Drosophila melanogaster: one gene and its partners. The protein of the gene in region 3 interacts with the protein of the main gene of each other region in a pairwise test. Each region holds a gene or a part of one and is shown on either strand. Other genes may lie near its edges.

The links.
Region 1: the proteins of Recs1 (region 3) and Idgf6 interact in a two-hybrid assay, tested with the Drosophila melanogaster proteins (one large-scale study listed by BioGRID).
Region 2: the proteins of Recs1 (region 3) and CG8960 interact in a two-hybrid assay, tested with the Drosophila melanogaster proteins (one large-scale study listed by BioGRID).

The regions. Positions count from the first base shown.
Region 1 is NT_033778.4:16,689,181-16,694,313, reverse strand, and holds Idgf6 (imaginal disc growth factor 6), read right to left. Parts: upstream 3,293-5,133; 5' UTR 3,106-3,292; intron 2,697-3,105; 5' UTR 2,545-2,696; coding exon 2,415-2,544; intron 1,967-2,414; coding exon 1,391-1,966; intron 1,329-1,390; coding exon 676-1,328; 3' UTR 563-675; downstream 1-562. UniProt on the Drosophila melanogaster protein: Probably required to stimulate the proliferation, polarization and motility of imaginal disk cells.
Region 2 is NT_037436.4:2,195,326-2,198,598, reverse strand, and holds CG8960 (uncharacterized protein), read right to left. Parts: upstream 1,587-3,273; 5' UTR 1,204-1,586; intron 1,169-1,203; exon of another isoform or gene 1,143-1,168; 5' UTR 1,060-1,142; coding exon 715-1,059; 3' UTR 510-714; downstream 1-509.
Region 3 is NT_033777.3:14,152,234-14,155,789, forward strand, and holds Recs1 (Recs1), read right to left. Parts: upstream 1,597-3,556; 5' UTR 1,527-1,596; coding exon 732-1,526; 3' UTR 652-731; downstream 1-651. Other genes in the region: CG42500 (uncharacterized protein), read right to left, coding at 89-319; CG44215 (uncharacterized protein), read right to left, coding at 2,083-2,199; CG31533 (uncharacterized protein), read right to left, coding at 2,524-3,556.

The DNA of each region.
Region 1 (5,133 bases), on a different chromosome or scaffold from region 3:
GCTATAGCTTACGCGTTCCGTGTGTGTAATACGCTGCGTATGCGAAATTTTCGACGTTTTCGCTTCAATGACAAATGTTGAGCAGTCAATTTGGAGCTTTCGTTGCCAGCTTTGTTGGGTACTCGATGCTCGATGGGGGTGTCAGCCACTCTGGTTGCTTTAATAATGAAGCCGATTAAGTATTTTCTGTCAAAGTCAATTGGATTCTGGCTATTCATCGGAGCATAAACAGCATTGGCGCACAAGCCGCAGCGAATGCCTAAATATTCCCCTGGGTCTTCGGATTGTGTAATTTATGAACAGCGTGTCGCAAATTATTGCTGTATTGAAACGAACAATCGATACATAAAATTGTGTAACCAAGAAGATGCGATAGCGAAATTTATATTTCGAACATGAATTCGGTATTCAATTAAATTGCGTAGGCAATCAATAATTATTTGCCAAATTTGAAATTTATATTATATGTGCCTTTGTGTACCAAACTGAACAGTAGCACATAACTGATATAAATTAACCCGAGCATATTTCCTTTGACACCCAAAAATGAACTGAAACCATTATGTGTTCTGAGGCACTTTATGACATTACAAATATAAATGGGACAAATATATTTCTTGATCAAGCATTTTCTTCACATGGTCAGCTATACATAAATCAAATTGGACTCCCACTTTAGTTGGTCAGACGATACTTAATGGCCCTCAGGATGGGGTACTTCTCGTTGGTGCAGAGTCCTCGGAAATCATCGTAGGACAGGTCGAATAGCGCGACTCCACCCAGATTTTCAGTGCGCACATAGCCGGCCTTATCGGCGGCAGTATCGGGATCCTCGAAGCTCACCCAGATGCCATTGTCGCCCTTTTTATCGGCTGCCCTGTAGGCATAAGAGCCGAAACGCTTGGCAGGATCCTGAACCTTGATCAGCGGAGCATTGGCGCCCTTCAAATAGGCGTTGTTCTGGTTGGGCAGCAGGGCGCAGACCTCCGGCCAGCTGTAAATGCCAGGCACCTGAGTGTTACCACCCACTGGAGCCTCGTCCTTGACGTCCTTCACCGGCGGAACACCAGTGTCGCCAGAGTCATCGGTCAGTTTCCATGGGCGACCGTAGGTGGCCACGCCCACATTGATCTTGCTGGCGGGACAGTTGTTGCGCAACCAGTACTTCACCTGAGCAGCCACATTGAACTCGGGATTGCGTTCGCTCAGTTCATAAATGGGTGCGGCATAGTCGGCAACTTCGGGATTACGCTGGGGTGTAAAGAAATCGAAGGTACCCAGATTCACAAAGTCTAAATAGTTGACCACAGCGGGAATGTCGTAGAACACTGTGTTGATAGAATTCGTTTTAAAATTTAAATCTCTAGACATTGCGAACGGGAATACTAACGGGATGAGTTCACATTGGGCAGAACAGTGGTGGAGAGCAGCAGGTTGTCCGGACGGAAGGCGTTCTTAACATCACGGAGTAGAGCGGTGAACTGCTCCTTGTGCTCCTCGGACTTCTCATCGACGATCGAGTCGCCGGAGAAGACCTTCTTGAAGCCCTTCCACAGGCTGCCAATTCCACTGTGCACCTTCTTCGGCTTATTCTTGGGGAACTGCCAGGCGACATCCAAGCCATCGAATCCGTAGGTCTTTACCAGCGAGTAGACGGTATTCACGAAACGAGTGCGACCTGTGGGGCTCTCGAGCAGTTCGAGATACTTGTTGGGCAGCTCCTTGGCATCCTTGTCCAGCTCAATGTCCTTGTCACCACCCACACTCAGCAGGATCTTGACATTGGGATACTTGCGCTTCAAGCGGGTCACCGTGCGGTAAAGTCCCTTGCCCAAATCCAAATCCAACTGCTGGTTCAGACTCACCGCCTTGTGCGAATCGCGCTCGATTCCGGCATAGCCGTAGACCAGATAGTCGCAGAATTGCAGAGCCGGTTCCAGTTCATCGATTACCAGCTTGCCCAGACCTAGATTAAAGAGCGGATTCGGCGATTAGGAGAAGGGATTTACGTACTGGGAAAACCCTGGATTCTGTCTTATAGTGCTGTCATCATTTTAATACATAGTTTATGGCAAATAGATAAGAAATCTATTTAAAATTAAATAAAGACTTCTTTCACACATTTTTGTTGCAATTGAAAAGCTTTTAGTTATGCCAATTATTTTAAATTTACGACCAGTCTCGGTGAGATTTACTTTTCGATTATCGCTTCCACACTCGACCCAAATTGCAAACAAACTAAACAAATCGAGTTCCGAGTATTTGTTGATAAGCCTAGTCGTTGTTTTCGATTTCGTTTTCTTATTTTACTTTTGCTAATTAGCAACTTCCACTGGAGGTTATATAATATTTAAGAGGGCAAAGTATATTACAAAGTAAGTAATACCATGTAAAACCATGCGGAATGTACCCACCTTCCTTGACGAAACTGGCGGAATCGTAGTAGCAGACCAGGTGCTTCTTGGGCAACTGCGGAGCTCCCACCTTGGAGGCCTGAATGCTGGCCAGGCACAGCGAAACGATCGCTAGGGCTTTAATGATCATCTTTGATTCGCGGATTTCACTTGATACCGTTGAGTTGTGCGCCGCTCAAGTGTCGACTTGGAACTGAAACTGGGGCTTTACTTCGCATCCCAGCTTGTCGAAGGTTGAGACGTGGTCGTCATTGTTGTTCTTGTTTTTTTTTTTTTTTGTTGCTGTTGTGGGTTGAGAGCAAAGTGTGAGCTGATAAACAAAGCTAAGCTCGGACGTGCGATCATTAGAAATAAATACAGTGGAGAGTGAATAAGGTGGACTAGGCCTATACCTACTGCTAGTTGCTAATTTCAAATATATACTTTCTTTTTGACAGCGCTTATTCCTACGCACCTGACTATAAAACTTAAAAAATATGATACTACATTTTATATTTCACTCATCTTGAATTTAACTGGTTTAAACTATTTTGGAAGACCTTAGTTGACTTGTACATGTAAGTCGTCCTTCTAAGCTTGTTTCCACTGTATTAATTCCAGTACTTTTGTGTGGGCTTCGCACAAACATATTTAAATTTTTACGACTTAGATGTCGAGAAATTTTATTTTTGCTTCTTTTTCCTCAACTCACTTATCTTTGGTTTGTTTTCTTTTCTTGTTTGCTGCTGCTCATGAATTTTTTGTGCCTCGGCATCGCCAAATTCGAGCTTTTAGGCTACAGCTGCTCCGCTGTTATCAATTCCCGACCTCGATTTGGGGTTTTTGTTCTGAACCCTAAGCCTGGGCTTCTCGTTTCCAGTCTCTTCTTTGTTTCCCCCAGTTTCCTTCTTGTTGATTTTGCCATAATTCTTGTGTTTGCTTGCCCTAATCGCTGTTCAATCCACTCGCCTCCTTTTGTTCTGAATCTCTTTTGGTCACACATGCTGATTTTCAGGTTCTGCATCGAAAAAAATTGATTACTAGTTAAAATTAAAAGTAATATTATACAATATTTTCCTCGCCTCGTAAAAAGTAAAAAAAAACTTTTTATCTGGTTTTTTTTTTTTCAAAATAAATGTAAACCAAACGGTTTTAGTATCTTCAAAATGGCGTGTTTTGCTTATTTTTATCATTTGAAATAGAGTTGCATTTTTCGTTCAGTGCTGGAAATGTCTTCTCTTTTTTAATAATTCATGCCATAGAAGTGGAGTGTGTGCTCCTTCGATTTCAGTTACTTAGTCCGCGTTGCCCTTTCTAGTTTTTTTCCTCACATATCCACATATCCACTTTTGCCATTTCATCTATCTGTATGTAACTTGAGGAATTGTTTTTTAGAATTCATGGACATATGTTTGTAGGTATGTACATATGGGTACCTACAATGAAAGGGCAAATGAAATTGACATCCAATTCTCACATCTCCCTTCGGTTTATTTGTGTGTAGGGAGAACTCTGTTGGCCTGGCACTCAATTATTTTTGCTGCAATTTCAATTTTTTACATTATCAATTAACAGTCTTGCTTTGATCTCTTTTTTTCCGGCTTTTGTGGGTGTTAATTCACGGAAAGTGAGTGAAAAAAATCGGGGTTAAGCTTTAGCTTCGAAAAACCAATCACATGCACGAGCGCTTCTGGCCGAATTAAATAAATAAAAACGCAGGGCCATGGAAAAAAGGTTTCATTTTAGGTCACAGGAGTTTTTTCAAAGTTTTTTTTTTTGGTCGTTGTCTAATTTTTACGAAAGCTTTTTCTTTTTTCGCCTAACGCATTTTGGTTAATTAATTTTCGCCATGCGCTTTTCGCTCAGTCAGCGCCAGCGGAATATTACTTACACATTTTCCTTGTAGTCCGCATAATTACGTGCACGTTTAACTTTTAATTGAAATGTTGTAACAAGAGTTGATGGTTGGGATAGGTGGTGGCGGGTAAAATGGGGGGAAAATATGGCAAAAAATGGGTTTTCTGCGGAGAGCTGAGTGAAACTAGGGCCCGGGGCCTGAGGGCTTGTCATGGCAATTTATAAAATTTCTTCCCGCTTGCCCCTTTTCCGCTACCCCTTTTCCGCTACCCCCACCCCCTTGCCACGCTTGCCTGCTGGTCTGTCTATATTTCAGTTTATTATATCGAGCTAAAAGCCGGTGCTCTTTAATTAAAAGCGTAGCCAGCAGACACACTCACACACGTTTCCATTTGATATTTATGAGCGGCCCCGAAGTATGATACACTTTTGTGGATTAAAGTGAAACCGCTTGGCAGATGGCCAGCAGTGTGTTGCCTGCTTTTTGGCCGGCATTAATAATATTTCAAAAATATTATGAGAATAGCCAAGCCACTGAAGGCGGTCTATAACGAGCCAGTCAGCAGGGAGGAGAAATGCTGAGCACTGCATGTACGATAGAACTTCTTGTGAAAGATTAGCAAGCATTTGTGATATATGATTTAAATGGTATTTAAGTGCTTTCCCTCTCCATTTTAAGTTATTTGTATTCCTGAGATAGTAGCTGGGCTTAAGTAAGAAAGTACTAGTATTTAGTACTGTATTTGGTTCTGAGAAAAAAACATTACCTATCGAATTTCAACTGTATCGCTTCTCAAACTCTGCGTCTTTTTCACCAGCATATCTCCCTGCATATTAAGCCCTGGGCAGAGGGCAAAAACCAGCACACACCAGTAAACAGAGA
Region 2 (3,273 bases), on a different chromosome or scaffold from region 3:
TAATTTAAATATAGTGCCACATTAAACTAATTCAATAATTTAGGGCATATTAATACATATACCTTACTTGCGCCCCTTTTGGCAAGAGTATTTGCAAATTACTTCAGCATATTGTCTGACATTGTTGCTGCTGCTGCCAGTCAGTCCCATCTTCCAACTCCAGCTCCGCCTATCCCCAATTCCCATCCTCTTCTGCTCCATGGGCGTTCTGCTACTTTGTGATAAATTTGGGGCCATTTAATGTTGCTGCAACACCCACGCGATCAGCGAGGACGTCTCCTCCGCAGGATATCATTTTTCAAGTGGAATAAAATCCGTTTCAGTCGCTATAGAAATCTGCCTCAAAGTAAAAATCGAAGTAAGCAGAACAGTTGCAGATCACCTTAAAGTCAATCAAAATTGACTACAAGTAAAACATTTTAATAAGAACTAAGCGAAAATTTTGTGCATAATCACATCCAAGAGAAGGAATTTAACGAAACTATAAAAACTATTTTTTTTCATTTTTTATTATGGCCAATAATGCGCTTTGATGACTGTACAAAATAAGTGTTTGTTGTTCCATGCATTAGATATTATTTAGACTATTGAAGAAGACTTGGATGTAGAGGGATATTTGTGGATTGGGTTTGATTTTGCTTTGCTGGGCTCAATTGGCACATTGTCATTGACATGCTGGGATGTCAGTGGTTCCCTTTGGTCGCGGGCAACTAACTAATTGGGATTCAGCTTGACTTCAGCAGTGGCCGCGTTAAGGCGCGATTTGGTTGGGAGGTTACGCTCCTTCTTCTCCACAAAGATCTGGTAGTGACCCTCGCCGTAGCCGAAGCCGTGCATGCTCTGGTGCATGGCAGCTGGGATGATGGTGAAGCCGCCGCGGCGCTTCTGGAGGATCTCCCTTTCCGGCAACTTGACCTCCTTCTCCTCTTCCTCGGCCGGATGAACGGCGCGGTTCTCGATGATGCAGAAGAGCTGCAGGCACTTGCGCATCAAGTAGATCATCAGCAGGATGATCAGGTTGGTGGCAAACAGATGTTTGCGCGGCGCTAGGAATAACATCCTGGGCACTTGGCACTGGGTCTAACTATCACAGACTCAAAAACTCACGCTCTCAACGGACGACGATTCGGGGCTGACTATCGCTGTGGAAGTACATCGACGGAATGAAGGATTCCCAGCCAAATCGCACTATATATACTATACCCAGATAACCTTCCTCTACCTAAGTACCTTCTGTTGGATGGCTAGGTAGACCAGTAGGTACCGCTGGTTTTTCACGGGATAGAACTGTACCTTAGGAAACTACCAGGTAATGGTACATTTAGCATTTAGTCCTTCAGATTAGGTAATCAGCCAGAACGGCAGCGACCAAATGTGTTTATGATTTTGCGGAAAATATATCCATTCGGTATCGACCTCAACGACAGGCAACGAACGGACCATCAGCAGAAGTATCTGCATCTGTGGCCGTAAATACAGCATTAAGTTTCCTTCCACGGAACGGCAAGTCTGAGCAAGATGCTAACAAAGGTCCTGTGCGGCACAGCGAGAAATTTCAAGCTAAAATGAAGTCCACATTTGTATGACTATACTTCCAATGCTACATTGTAACTGCTTCTCTTCCATAAACAAATATTGCAAGTAAAAGTATCTTCATTCTTATTGCATGTCAATAAGTTTCACTTCATCTTAATATCAAAATTCGTGCATATAATCAAGAAGTTAGTCTTTTGGGTTCTTATGCTTTACTATTCATCCTTCCATCTACCAATATTTCATTGGCATAATATTATCTAAATCATTTTTAAATATATTTTTCAACAATCTGCTCCTTAGAATCTCTTCGAAATCCTCTTATCAGAATATCCACTCGTTTAGCTCTCAGTAAGCCCATCAAGTTTGCCCCCGAGCCCCGAATCCCCGACACATTTTCGCCTAGTGCACTTCTCACATAGCCTGCTTCCTGCCCCATTGATGCAACTGCACCAAAGTGAATTTCCCCCGGCATTGTCGCCATCTTCCCCGGCAGAAAAAGTGGCATAAATTCACAAATTGAATATAAATAAATTTCCTGCCAGGCAATCGAACCAAAAAAAGGGAATAAATATGCCGTAGGAGGCATCCACACACTCACTAGTAGATATAGATATAGATGGATAGATATGTACCCTGTAGCACGTGCCACGCCCAGTCAATTGAATTTGAATGTGAACCAAAAAGCAGGCTGGGCCATAAAAATGGCTAAAATATGTTGGACAGCAGAAAAAGAAGATGGGAGAACAGCTGGCAGCAACCTCCATTTAATCAATAGCCAAAGTACCACACTCATTAAGAAAACTAAAAGTTTTCTTTCGCTTTTCACCTGCTTAAAATGCGCTCTGCTGCTGTCACAAAAAAAAAAAAAAAACTCTGGTAAAAAGGGGAATCCCCGAGGAGAAGCTGAGCAAAGTTTTGAGAAAGACCTCAGTTGAAACAACCTCATTGGCCGCTGCGGCGACTTTTTGCTTTCTGGCTTCGATTTTCCGCACACAGTGCATCCCAAAAGTCCGGCACCAGCTGCGGCCCCAGCAATTTGCCATCATTTGTTGACTTAATCATTTGATTGCGTTTTTCTGCACGCGCTGATTGAATTTTCCAGCGCAACCGCAGCCCAAAAGGAAGCCGAGAGCCAAGGCGAAAGTTTTGGGCGTGTCCCTTCGGTCGGGCAACTCTGCTGGGAAATCAAGCTAATTAGTTTAATTGATAGTTGTGACTCGGATCGCCCGATTTGGTTTTGCAACTTCACTTTGCCCCAGCGAAACACGCAAACAAATCTGAAAACTTTTCACCGAGGGAAGCACCAAATGGTTGGACAGTTGCAGACAGATGACGATATGATTGGGATAAAGAAAATATCTCTTCTCTCTTTGATTCAATTGCTTGATCGTTAAAGTTTTGACAGTGCAAACATTTATGCATAGTTATGGTGATATTCAGAAGATGAATTTTATTTTGATATTTCATGAGTTAAACATCATAAGTAGACTTGAATTCATATTGCCCAACATAAATCCACGAACACCATTCATTCTAGCCACATTTCTCCTCCTGTATATTATTTTATTTCCTCCCGAAAATAAATCAACAATCAATTGCAGATAAATATTTCGCCTCAATATTTATACGTGCCGCATGTGCCGGCATTAAAGATGAGTTTGGCAAGGACGCACAATAAATTTGGGCTACCATTCGACGGTGTTTCTACATGAGATGCTTTCGGTGCTACGTGCCCGG
Region 3 (3,556 bases):
GATATGCTGTACTGAAGGTGTTGAACAAACACTTCGTTTCTTTCCATCAAGGTCTGCATTGCGCTCCTTGTAGGATTCAGATAAGTTTTCAGCCAGAATGACCATGAACACCATGTCCCACAACTGGACCATGGCCTACAACTGGACCATGGCCTACAACTGGACCGTGTCCAACAGGACCAGCGTGTCCCACAGGTCCGTGGCCAGCATTGACTGGGTGTCCTCCGTGTCCTACAGGAACATGGCGCAGATCACCGGGAGTTGCCTGGACGGTAGCCAGGGCAATGAGGAGGAAGGCACACAGAGCAAAGAACTTCATCGTTTCAAAATTTGATACACTTTGAGGTGCTGGAAGATCTTATATACCTAATATCGTAACCGTTTACAGTTATCTTTTTTTTTATAATTTTTCGTTATTTTTTGGGTCACAAAACACTAAATTATACGAAATGTATTTCAATATATAGGTTGCCCGTTAATTAGCGATTATGAACAGGTGCGATCATTGAATACCGGTCATTCTTGTTATTTCTGCATTTGTTTGTGCAAACAAGTTTAATTATATTATTTATGGCAACTGTGCTTTGTATAAAAAATATCCAAATTTTTAAAGCCTATATTTAGGCTTTTAAGTAAATGTAAAATAGGCTTGCTGCTGAATTTGATTTATTAATACTCGACGTCGAATTGCAGATGTAAAATAATCTGTGTGTTTGTGAGATTTCATGCAACTAATCGGATCCTCCGATTAATTGCAAAATGTCCAGGAATATGTTCATTACATCCATGTAAATATTTAGGGCAGCGAATATGTACTCCTCGGGACTAATGGAGTACCTATGCTTGCCTCCCATCATCAATTGTGTATCGTAAACTAAATAAACGGAGAAGAGCAGAGCGCTCAATGAGGCATATATGGTGGTGACCATATGTCCGCCCACGAAGATGGTCACAATTCCAAAGAAGAGCAGTATTATCAGGCAGCTCACCAGGAGGCCACCCATGACGGTAAAGTCGTAACGCGTCTGCAGAGCAAAAAGGGTGAGTCCAAGGCAAACTGACGCCGTGATTAGCACGGCCATGAAAATCTCCATTGGGGCATAACGACAGGCTGCCACGCCCAGCAGAAAGGACTCGGCTATCGTGAAGGCAGATAGGAAGATGAAGTTAGCTGGGGTCTGACGACGCAGATCCTCATTGCAGCCCAGAGCCACCAGAGAGAAGACCACTATTAGTATGGCCACCACAAATATCCAGGTGCTTTCTGCCACCATCAGACGCACCCGTTTATCAGCAGTAAGTGAAACTATAACCACCAGGGAAGTGATCAGTTGGGCCAACAGGATGAGGTACACCTTCCGGATGAATCCTCGCCGGATGCTGGCGCTGCAGAATCCCAAGCCCTTGTCTGGATCATCCTGTCCGATTTCCGATCCGTAAGCTGTATATCTTCCCAGCGGAATACACTCCGCCTGGTGGCTCCGATTTCCATACTGATGTACTGGTTCTTGTAAAATATCCAGCATTGTGTCCTTCGAACACAACTTTCAAGTAACTGCTAATTCTTAATTTAATAACCTTTGTCGGAAATTGAAGTATAGTATGACAGAAGAGTCAACGTTAAATGGAATTTACTTCTTAGAAACTATAAATCTTCTTTTCATAATTAGTAACTATCATAAACATAACTTTAACTTCATTTCTTTAGAATTCGAAAATTCACAATATTATAATATTATAATAATATATATCCAATACTGTCTTCCGTCTTATATACATTTGCAGTAATGCGTATTTATTAAATTCAAACAACAATTTTATGTAAAGATTTAAATATGTGACTAATTTGAGCAAAAACGGACTTACGGATAACTAAATGACTATATGGCTATATACACTCTGCTGTTAATACTTATTATTTATACATATTTTAAATGGTTGCAAATGTACCCCTTAGTGCGTTGCAAACTTCTGTCTGAAATCATTATACCCTCTGCAAGGGCATACAAATAAATACAACAAATTCTGCTGCTAAATAGAATATTTATTCCAATATTCAAGTAGCTTTCGTGAAATTATAAATTATCCAGCAGTTTTCTTAAGGTTCCCTTCAGAGATCGCACTGGTCTCAGGAGAACTATTGGCCTGGACGGCAGCCAGGATGAGGAGCAAAAAGGCGCACAGAGCGAAGATCTTCATTTTGGTAACTTTAATGAATACAGTCTAACAGTTGGCATGGCGCTTTTATACTACCGTTTGCAGTCGATTGAGACCAGTTTATAATTTCTATATAATTAGCATATTTAATCAAATTCTTATGCTCGTATTAATAGAATTTTAGCAATACTTTGAAAACAAGTTGGATTGCGTCATTAACAATCACAAAAAATGTGCTCCCTAATATAAAATAAAATTATTTATAATACTATTATACTAATTCCTATAATTCCAAACGGCTGCCATTGTAGCTTAAGAGAAATAAAACACGCTTATTACATTTTGACTTTTAATAAAAGAATACAATTATTTCCTTGATTTTGCTCTCATTTTTTGTATTATCTTTCGCGGCAGTTCTTTCCAAACATTTTTGGTATACCGGTAAGGATCGATGGCGTTCCTAGCGGTTCCAATCGGGAGTGGTGCCTGGGCCTTCTTGCCCCACACCTTCGGGTGTCGCCAGATTACGGGCTTTCCATGCTGGCCACCACCCCGGTATCCAAAGACTCCATCCTCGAAAACGGTCTCTATATTATCGCCGAAGGCTGTGCCCATATACCGATCTCCTGCTGCGCAATCGTAGGCCCTATAGAAGTGATTGTGGGCTACTGGATATGGAGGCGGTATAACTGGTGGCTCCTTCATTGCAGTCTGGGTGCTATGATTCACCACGTTCCTAAGGGCTTTGCGCTTCGGTCTACGAGTTCCCGCCGGCGGAGTCACATCCAGATCGAACTCCAAATCGCTCTCACTTGTGTCGGTAAGCACCAAGTGGTCGGGACATGGCTCTATAAAACGCTTCTGGCACTCTTTCTTGAGAGCCTTATTCAGGTGAAATTTATCCAAGGCATCGCGACAGGTGCACATCATCAGGGACTGGTGGCACTTGCACTTCTCGAAGCCCTGATCCTTGAGAGCACGCTTGATCTGGCGCAGTGCCACCGCCATATCGCTCTTGACGATCCGGAACGTTATGGGTTTCTGTTTCATACCCAAAGTGGGCAGTGGACGAAGGGTTACGAATATATTACCATTTCGCTTGCAAATATTGAGCACGGGATGGCCAAATCGTTTCTGTTCCTCGTAATCAGCTGTTACCTTGCCGCACATATTCGGATCTCTACTTCGCATCAGGAAGTGACGCATCACATGGCCAGAGGATCGTAGGATGGCACCTGGCCGCCAGCCATTCTTCCGTGCCTCGCAACTTTTTGTCCAGTTCCAACCATGGCGACGAGACACAATGCTTGAGGACGAAATGCAGTTTTTGTGGCCAGCCTTTGGATGATGGCTTCTTCCGTCAAGTATTTTGTCTCCTGGGTATAGCGATTTGGTCAGC